Chlamydomonas reinhardtii: one gene and its partner. The main gene of each other region encodes a partner of the protein of the gene in region 2 in a complex. Links are inferred from orthologs where the notes say so. Each region holds a gene or a part of one and is shown on either strand. Other genes may lie near its edges. The genes, in order: CHLRE_17g712000v5 and CHLRE_16g688750v5.

Region 1 (4,484 bases), on a different chromosome or scaffold from region 2:
GAGGCGGCGTCAGCGGCGGCGCTGGGGCTGGGGCCACAGCAAGAGCGGAATCGGAGAGTGTAGGGACAGGATCTAAAGGTGCGGAGGCTGGTGGAGCCGCCGGTGCTGGTGGTGCTAGTACCCGTGCCGCGGCGCAGGGTGCTGCGGCGGTGGACGATGGGTTACAGGTCGGGACGCGGACAATCCTGGAGTGATAAGCAGTCTTGACTCATCAACGGGACGGACAGACGGGCCCTCAGGTGACCTGGACGATAGCTTGGATGACCGGAACGGATGAAAGCTTGAACGCCTTGAAGGTGACTGAGTACGACCAATGCCTGCTGTGCGCGCAGGGGTCTGGCCGTCTGGGCGTGGGGTTTGAGCTACTGCACATGAGTCGCGGCACATAACAGCCAGTGCGTTACAGTTCCCTAAGCTTTGTATTTCCGCTTTGTTGCTTTGGCTCCATGCCTCCACTCCGGCAGCTTGGCATCCTCCTTGGCGTCTGCAGCTCCATGTTTCGTGTCGCCCCATAGCCCCCATGCCTGGGACGCAGCACACCTGCACACGCGCAAGCACCGCACTTACTCTCTCCTGCGCGCCCGCATGCTCTCAACGGGCGCTCAACCGCTGCCTCCGCGGGACACCAGACTCGTCACTTCATTGTATTAGGCGTCGCCATCCTATCCCTTCCACTGCAGCATGCCTGGTTGCCCTTGCGGCGCCCGGGGGCACCTCTGGCGGCGCCTGCCATGACCATCAAGCCAATCGGGCTCGACTTCATGATTTGTATCACAAAAGCGCTTGTGCACCCTCTCCTGCCCCTCGTCCTGCCCCTCGAACTACCCGGCACTGCCAGTACCCACATCACGTAAACTAACAAACACGTCACTAGTGACACACCCTGCTCTGGCCAACGGCCAAAGCGCCGTGGCCAACTCTCGCCGCCATGCTTAGTCGCGTACAGGCGAGCGGCTGCGGCTGCGGCTCCGCAGCGGCGGCGGCGAGCGCCGGGGCGGCGAGGCTGAGCGCTCACGGATGGGGCTGGGGCTACGCGGCCGGCGCTCGCCCACAGGGCTATCGCGGCGCGGGGACGACCTACGTTTACAAAAGGAACCATGAACGTTTGAAGGATTGGGCGACTAATGTGAACATTTGAAGCAATGCGTTGAAATAGCTGTCCGCCCAAGTCCGCCAGATGACCCGCAACGTTTCGACAGCACGCGAGTCAAGAGGCGGCACAGAACGTATTTGTGATCACACATCAATACAAAAGCGCTTACCGGCGTGGCGGGCTGGGGCTGCGGCGGCGGATGGGGCTGGGGCTGCGGCGGCGGATCGGGCTGGGGCTGCGGCGGCGCAGCGGGCTGGGCGACCGGCGGCGCAGCGGGCTGGGCGACCGGCGGCGCGGCGGGCTGGGCGACCGGCGTCGCGGCGGGCTGGCGCGGCGGCCGTAAGGGCTGGGGCTCCGGCGGCGCATAGGGCTCGGGCTGCGGCGTCGCGGCGGGCTGCGGCGGAAGTCGTCGAAGCGGTCCGGGGGGGGGCCGCGGAAGGCGCCGCCGCCGCCGCCGCCGCCGCCGCGCCCTGGGGGCGGACCGCGGTTGCGGGAGATCTCCACACGCTGCAGTAAGGAATAGCAAGCCAAACAACACTTAGTTCTGTGTCCATGATAAGCGATCCACTTCATTGACATCAAGCCTACCTTGCGCAACACACACCCAGGTCACCCACAACCTCGTCAAGTCACCGGCAGCACGTACGTTGCGTCGCGACTCACCCAGCCCTTCATGCCGTCCAGAGCGCGCACCGCGTCCTCCGCGTCACGGAGGTCATCCATCTCAATAAACGCTGCAGGTTGAGAGCGGAGGAAGTTACAGGGAGGGCGCAGGCGTCAGGAAACGGCATTTCAATGTTGTTGAGAGGCTCTATTTCCTGTGGTGTATCCAATGAGGCTGAATGAGGCTGCTGGCAAAGGGCAGGCGCGGAGCAAGCGAGGAGCTGCTTCCCGTGTGTGCAGTCACGAGGACTGCTAGTGTAAGCCGCGCGCTGCCTGTGCAACCCACGACCTACGCCAGGGAGGGTGGGGCGAGCACAGGCGGTGGCGGGTGGCCGCCAGTGGGCGAGCAGGTGGCAGGTGTGGGGGCGGTGTTGCAGGTGAGGCGGTGCAGGCTGGTGAGGGTTGAAGTGGCTGAGGCGTGGTCGTTGCTGACGTGTGCACAGGCCACAGGGGCCATTGCTGAAGGGCATGGGTGTAGCTGACGGTGAAGGGTGATGCGGCTGAGGCGCGGCGAGGACGGCGGGGTTGGCGACGGGTAGAGGGAAGGGGACGGGCCCGATGCGATACTAGGACGAGCCGAGAAGGCGCAGTGGGCGGCAGCAGATGAGCTGCCGCCAGTACATATATGACGCAGGCGGTGTGCGTTGATGGGGTCGTGCTTGGAGATGGGAAGAGGAGAAGGCGATGCGTGCGACGGGGTTGGGGAGCGCAGGAGGGTGGGCCGACAGTAGGTCAGGCTGGGTTGTGGTCGCATCAGCGAGGCTTGTCATCCTGCGGGGGTTAGGTCAATGCGCTCTCTGTCCAGCCTCCAGCGTAGAGCGGCGAGCCCAACTGGCCGTGCCGAGTACATTTAGACCCTCGCCTGTCTTGGCCCCTGCGCTGCTCCCGAGGTGCGTGTATGCTTACCAAATCCTGCGGTAAATTGGAGGACAATAGGGCGCGCAGAAAGTCAGCACGGTGCACAGCGCGCCGCGATCGCTAGAATTGCAGCGACTCGCTCGCTCACCTGGAGGCTTGCGCGCCACCCAGATGTTCCTTAGCCTGCCGAAGCGCACGAACTCTGTCTCCAAATCCTCCTCACGGATGCCCGAGGGCAGGTTACCTGGACAGCCGAAGACACGAGGCGTGACTGCCAAGAGCGGTGCCAGCGGCTGCCCCCTTAGCCAGAGCAGCTCAGCATACTATCGTTCACTTACCGACATACACACGCGCCATAGCCACCTGCTCCTGAACCTAAACCTAGACGCTGAAACGACTTCAGAAGATTCCTTTTAACCCTCGCCCTCGCTCGTTAGTTCGTTCGCAGATGCAGACCTTGAACAATTATGCCCTTATGAGTACAGCGTCTTATGCATGCAGCTTGCAGAGACAGGAGTTTTGCTCAGCTGGGCGGATTGCCTACATGAATCCCAAGTCTGCGCCAGCCTGTAACAAAACACACGCTTGCCCAGAAGCCCTATTGATGCTCTGTGAATTCCTTGCACCAGCGGTAACGATGCAGCGGCCTGCGGAAAGTGACGTCGGCGATGCCCCACTGACGCAGGCCGAACTAGCGGCACAACTAGGGAAATTTGAGGGATACAAGGAGAAACTAGAGGCAGACATCGATAAGCTTGAACAGCGGAGGGCGAAGCTGCAAGAGGACTCGGGTGAGTTGGACGGACTGGGGTTTGGGGCGGGCGTGTCCAGTTACACTGGGAGGGCCAAACTGTGTCAAGGGTAGGAGTGGCCGTTGGAAAGCCGTGGGATACGGCGGAAGAAGGGCCTCAAACTAGGAGTGAGGCCGTTGCCTGGCCTATGGACATATGGCCTGTGGATCAACGCGTTGGCCCGCCGCCGCAACATCCACCCGTTGCTCTTGCGGTGTCATTTCACAGACGAGTACGAAAAGCTTGTGGCCGGTGTGGCCACGTTCGTCAAGGTGAGTGGCAGCATCTGGAAGGTTGTGTTATCGCCTGGGTGCGGGCAACACCCGTTGCAACCTGGTCGGCGGCGAGCCAGCTCCATTATGCCCCGCTACCCGCATGCGTACCTCGCCTCTCTTGCACCGCACCCACTTGTAAACTCTACTTCGCATCGCCATGCAATCCCAGCACTAACGCCTCACCTCTGCTACCCCCACCCTAACCTCAACCCCTCCTAACCGCATTCAGGACGGCGCCACCTCTCTCGAGGGCCAGCGTGTGGACGTGGGCTGCGATGTCAAGTGCGCGGCGCGTGTGCCAGACGTCAGCAGGATCTACGTGTCCGTGGGCCTAGGATTTCACGTGGAGTCGGCGCTAGGGGAGGTGCGGGGCCTGGTGGCGCCGCGGCAGGAGCACCTTCGGCAGCAGCTGGCGGAGCTGGACAAGCAGCTGGGGGACGCCAGGGCCACGGCGGCAGCGTTTAAAGGCTCACTGCAGATATTGAAAGAGGGCGCGACGGTGTGAGCGTGCAGGGACCTTTAGGAGAGATAGGTTGGGGCTAGCGCACGCGTGCAGATGCGATGGTGGCGGGGAGTGGATTGTGGGCCCCGATGCGGAGCTGTGCCGGTGTGCCTGAGCGGGCACACGCTTTGACAGCACAAATAAGCGACGAGCTGGTCCTGATGTAAAGAAGCTTCTGATTGATGCCGACTTGCAAAGCACCCCTACACTGCGCCCCTGTCTGTTTCGCTCGCCCGATCCGGTGAGCGCCGTGCCATGTCACGCCATTTGCCGTGTACGTAGCACCGAGATATCGTGCGCAG
Region 2 (4,393 bases):
GTGTGCGTGTGTGCGTGATTGCGTGCGTGCGTGCTGTAGGCATGGCCGATGCGGTAGATATGCGACGCGGGTGACAGGTCGTTGAGACAGGTCGTTGAGCGCACACACAAGTCCGAGGGTAATCACGAGCCCCCATGCCACCAACACGCCACGCCTTCCAGCCCAAAGCGCCCGCCGGCCGCACCTGGCGCCCGGTGGAGCCGCCGCATCCTTGGCCTTCGCCCCCTTGGTGGTGGGTTGGTAGTCGGTGCCGGCGTCTCCGAATATGTCTTCATCGTCGTCCACGGGGGCGGCCGGCTTGGCGGGCTCCGCGGCCGCGGCCGAGGCCGGGGCGCCAGGCGAGACGCCGGCGAGGTCCTTCTCGGCGGCGTCTGCCTCAGACTTGATGCCCTACAGTGGCGGTATGCGCAAGGGCGGTATGCGCAAGGCGCGATTGGCGGTGCGATTGTTAGTGTGACAGGTACGCGTACGCTGGGGTGTAATGCGGTGCGAAGACCTTCGCTATCGCCACTGCTGGACTGCGCGGCCTGTGAAATAGCGCCCCCCCCCTCACTGCGTGTCCTCCACGCCTCCATTGTATGGCGTAACACGTGCGCACAAACCCCCAGCCCCCAAACCTGTAACTGGCGACCGGTTAATCCGAACCCGACCTTATGCCACTTGCTGATGCCCCAACCGCACAGCCACCCAGTCATCCAGCCACCCACCGAGTCACCCGGAGCTACCCAACCCAACGTAAAGCCCCCACACGCACCAGCAGCGCGTCGCGGTCCTTCTTCTTGAGCTTCTTGCCGTCCGCGGTGGTGCGCACATAGCTCATGATCTTGGCGATGCGCTCCAACACCGCGTTGTCCACCGCCGCAAACAGCGTCTCAGCCACCTACACGGGCAGCAATGGGACAACATATTTTACGGCAGCGTGGGCGAGCGCATTCAAAGTGCGGTACCCACTGCATCTCAGCATGGGTCCACGGGGCACTGGAGATGCGCCTCCAGGGCCGGGAGCACAGGCAGCCGGCGCACGCACCTGCGGGCACTCGCTCTTGGGCCGGCGCAGTGTGGTGGGCACGTCGGTGTCGGGCGAGTCCTCGTTGTCGAAGTCGTACACAAAGGCCGTACGGCGGGGGCCGTACATCTCCCGCACGTTGGAGGCGCGCGGCGGCGCGAACAGGGTGCTGAAGACGGAGCGAGCCAGCGGCGTCACAAAGCGGACCTGCTCGGCATGAGCATGTGTGTACGCGCAAGGAACGGATATGCTAACGCGGGTGTGGGCAGTGGGATGGTCAGAAGCGGGAGTCGTGAAGGGCATTAGAAGCCGTCACACGTCGCAGGCGTGCGGCGCAGGCTCTACGTGGACCAAGACCTTCAGCATACAAGAATGAGCCCCCCCCTTCACAATCCAGTCCAACCCTTTCCTTTTGGGGCGCCCTCTCGAAGCACCTCGCACACGACCGGATGCGCACACACCTCCTCCTTGCGCCCCGCCGCTGCGTTGGCCTTGGCGGCCGCCCGCGCCGCCGCTTCTCGTGACGCCTCCTTCCGCGCACCGTGCCCCTCGCCGTGCTCCTCATCCTCCTCGTCGCTGTCTCCCTTCTTGGTGATCTCCGACCGCGTCTGCGCATATGCAGCGTGCATGCGTTGAAAGACTTGTCTAGCGGTTCATTACCATTGTCTGCAGCCCCAGCCTTGCCCGCTCCCCCCAGTGTCCCAGGTGCTCCCCGATCCTGGCACTCCGTGACACACCCCTCCTCCTTACTGTCCTTCCCCAGGAGGCTAGCACCCCGCTGCCAGTGCCTCACTGACCGCACGGCCCCACGGCAGCACGGCCCCCCACGCCAGCACGGCCCCACGCCCCCACCTTGTGCAGCAGGGCGTAGTCCAGACCCTTCACCAGATGGGTGAAGCGCATGTCGCCTCCCAGGTACTTGGTCTCCTCCTCCGACAGCTTGCTCAGATCCACCTGCCCACCCCGGCAGCCCGGGCAGGACACAGTGTGAGGTTGCGACATGACAACATGCAAGACGGGACGGCCCAATGAAGGACCATCTACGGCCAAAGGAACGGTAATCTTTATTGGATGCGGACGGCATGTGCCGCAGTCGAGCACCCTCATCCTCAAGCAACAGGGAAAGACGCCCAAGCCACAAAGCCCGCACTGCCACGGCTGGCGCTGCAAGTAACCTCCCGCTTCTCCTAAATCATCCGCCTCAGCAGTATCGTCGCATACTGGCACAGGCAACCGCCCCCCTTGTGCTCTCCTAGCACACGGCCCCCCGGCCATAGTCCTGCCCAGGGCCGCACCTGGCCAATGTCGGGGCCCAGGGGCCCGCCGCCACCCGCCCCGCCGCCGCCGCCGCTGCCCCCCAGAGCAGACAGCACCGCGGACGCGTCCTCGTAGTCGCTGTTCTTGCCGCGGCGGCGCTCCTCCGCGCGGTCCCTGTTGGTTGTCAAGGTTTCAAGGAGGATGGGCGTGGTGGATGACGCGTGGAGGGTGCGTGACACGAGTCCAGTGGAGTATGTGCGCTGTGCATCGTTAGGCTCATGTCAGCATGCACATCGGTGTCGCGGGGTCGCCAATAGCGGCGCCCATGCCGGCCGCTCGTGTGGGAGCTGGGAGGTGCCCACGGCCTGCGTGTCCACTGCGCTCCTCACCCAAGCCGTGCGACCCGTCATACCTGTACTTGGGCCCGTCCTCGTCCTCATCCTCCTTCTTCTTGTCAGTCGGCTTCTTGAAGCCCGGCTTGGGCTTGGGCCGGTACTCGCCCGTGGGTTTGGCTTTGGCCTGCGCCTGCGCCTGCCCAGACTTGCCTGCTGCGGGTGTCTCCCCGCCAAAGCGTTCCGCCCTGGGCGTTGCCAGCAGTCTTCGGAAGTCATCATTGTTCATTTTTGCTACTTTGGACTATAGTAACATGAGACAATTGTTTTTTGGGAGGAGCCAGAGCCCCGCGCAGCAGGAAGATTTGTTGGTATCGCGCAGCGGCCTTAAGCTCTTTCTTGTGCACAAAATGTGTAGTATGAGGAAAGAATGCAGTTACGGTATGTTTGTTCCTTTACTCTTGTTGCACCGTGGTCCATGCTGTCCATGCGAGCTCGCCCGAAATACTCGTTCTGGAATGAATTCCAAGCAATCACTGTTAGATCTCAGTATATCTATAGTTGCCTACACTGGGTTTGCGGAATTGACACTGCGTTGCTTGGGCGGCTCTGTGTGCACCTCGCGAACTAGTCTGCACTTCGTCGAGCATGTCTACCTACGCCGGGTCTAGTCTATCGGCCAAGGAAACATGGAAATCTAAAAAGGCCAAGACCAACTTGGTCGACGCGACCCTCAACATCGTGCAAGCCTGGGCCCTGCCGGTGCTGGTCGGTGGCTACCTGGTCCGCCGTTTCCTACAGAACCGCAAGAAGGCGCCCAAGGCGCCCGATGCGGCAGGCGCCGCGAAGGCCGAGCAGGCTGACGCTGATAAGGCTGGCGCGGAGCGCAAACCGCGCCGGGACTACAAGGTGAAGCGCGACCAGGAGGGCCCGCTGCTGGCCGGCGCCGACGACGAGGAGGTGGAGGTGCAGCCACACGACGAGGTGATGGAGGGGTACAGCGAGAGCGAGGTGGATACGGCGGGCGCGGCCGCGGCGGGGCCAGGCGGCAACAACACAGCCATGCTGAAGATGCTGCAGCAGATGGGCTACCGCGTGGTCATGCCCAAGGACGGCAGCGGGCAGGTGTACCTGGTGCCGCCCGGCGCCGCGGGACCGGACGGGGAGACGATTGAGGAGGGTGAGTGAGGCGTGCTGCTGGGGTTCGGCGTGTGGCGTGCCGTGTGGGGACGGATTTAGGGATGGATGGGGGCCTGGGGCAAGAGTGGGCTGGGTGGCTGTGGGCGTGGTGGCGGCGGGGTGGCTGCGGGGTGCGGGGCACGCGAGGGGACGGAGCCGCGCGGAGCTGCGTGAAGCCAGGGGAGAAAGAGGGTCGTCCTTGGGTTGAGGCGTTGCCGCCTCGTGGCGCGCATCGCGCATCCACCACCTTCCCAGTTGACTGGCACCCAGCAGTTGACTTGTGGTCGATCGCTTCGCAGTATCAATGCGTAGGACGCACCTTCCTGCCACAGCGCTTTACCTGTTAGTCACTTCCGTGTGCTCATGCTGCATACCCTGCAGGTGACGAGGACGAGGAGGAGGAGATGGAGGAGGTGGAGGGCGATGAGTAAGCAGCTGGCACGGGGCGCCCTGCTCACGCGCGTGCTCCATGAACGGACAGAGGAGTGCCTCGTTCGCAGACCAGCTTTGTGATGGGTCTGGGTGCGGGAAGACGTGGTTGCTGGAACGTTGGTGGGGTGTGCGCCTCTGTGCGCATAGCATTAGCAGAGGCTTATCCGCCTGTGAGCAATGAGTAAAG

What was found.
Region 1: CHLRE_16g688750v5 (region 2) and CHLRE_17g712000v5 share a complex: the UniProt entries of both Arabidopsis thaliana proteins name them as parts of the spliceosome. The link is inferred for Chlamydomonas reinhardtii from reciprocal best matches to the Arabidopsis thaliana genes SMU2 and RSZ21.

What each region holds. Positions count from the first base shown.
Region 1 is NC_057020.1:2,068,055-2,072,538, reverse strand, and holds CHLRE_17g712000v5 (uncharacterized protein), read right to left. Parts: upstream 3,084-4,484; 5' UTR 2,972-3,083; coding exon 2,953-2,971; intron 2,859-2,952; coding exon 2,763-2,858; intron 2,669-2,762; coding exon 2,663-2,668; intron 1,828-2,662; coding exon 1,757-1,827; intron 1,601-1,756; coding exon 1,263-1,600; intron 1,078-1,262; coding exon 933-1,077; 3' UTR 389-932; downstream 1-388. Other genes in the region: CHLRE_17g712050v5 (uncharacterized protein), read left to right, coding at 1-194; CHLRE_17g711950v5 (uncharacterized protein), read left to right, coding at 3,252-3,405, 3,634-3,677, 3,910-4,185. UniProt on the Arabidopsis thaliana protein: Probably involved in intron recognition and spliceosome assembly.
Region 2 is NC_057019.1:3,685,822-3,690,214, forward strand, and holds the start of CHLRE_16g688750v5 (uncharacterized protein), read right to left. Parts: upstream 3,015-4,393; 5' UTR 2,885-3,014; coding exon 2,676-2,884; intron 2,438-2,675; coding exon 2,302-2,437; intron 1,961-2,301; coding exon 1,859-1,960; intron 1,615-1,858; coding exon 1,468-1,614; intron 1,214-1,467; coding exon 1,028-1,213; intron 881-1,027; coding exon 755-880; intron 391-754; coding exon 185-390; intron 1-184. Other genes in the region: CHLRE_16g688800v5 (uncharacterized protein), read left to right, coding at 3,244-3,775, 4,156-4,205. UniProt on the Arabidopsis thaliana protein: Auxiliary spliceosomal protein involved in splicing of specific pre-mRNAs that affect multiple aspects of development.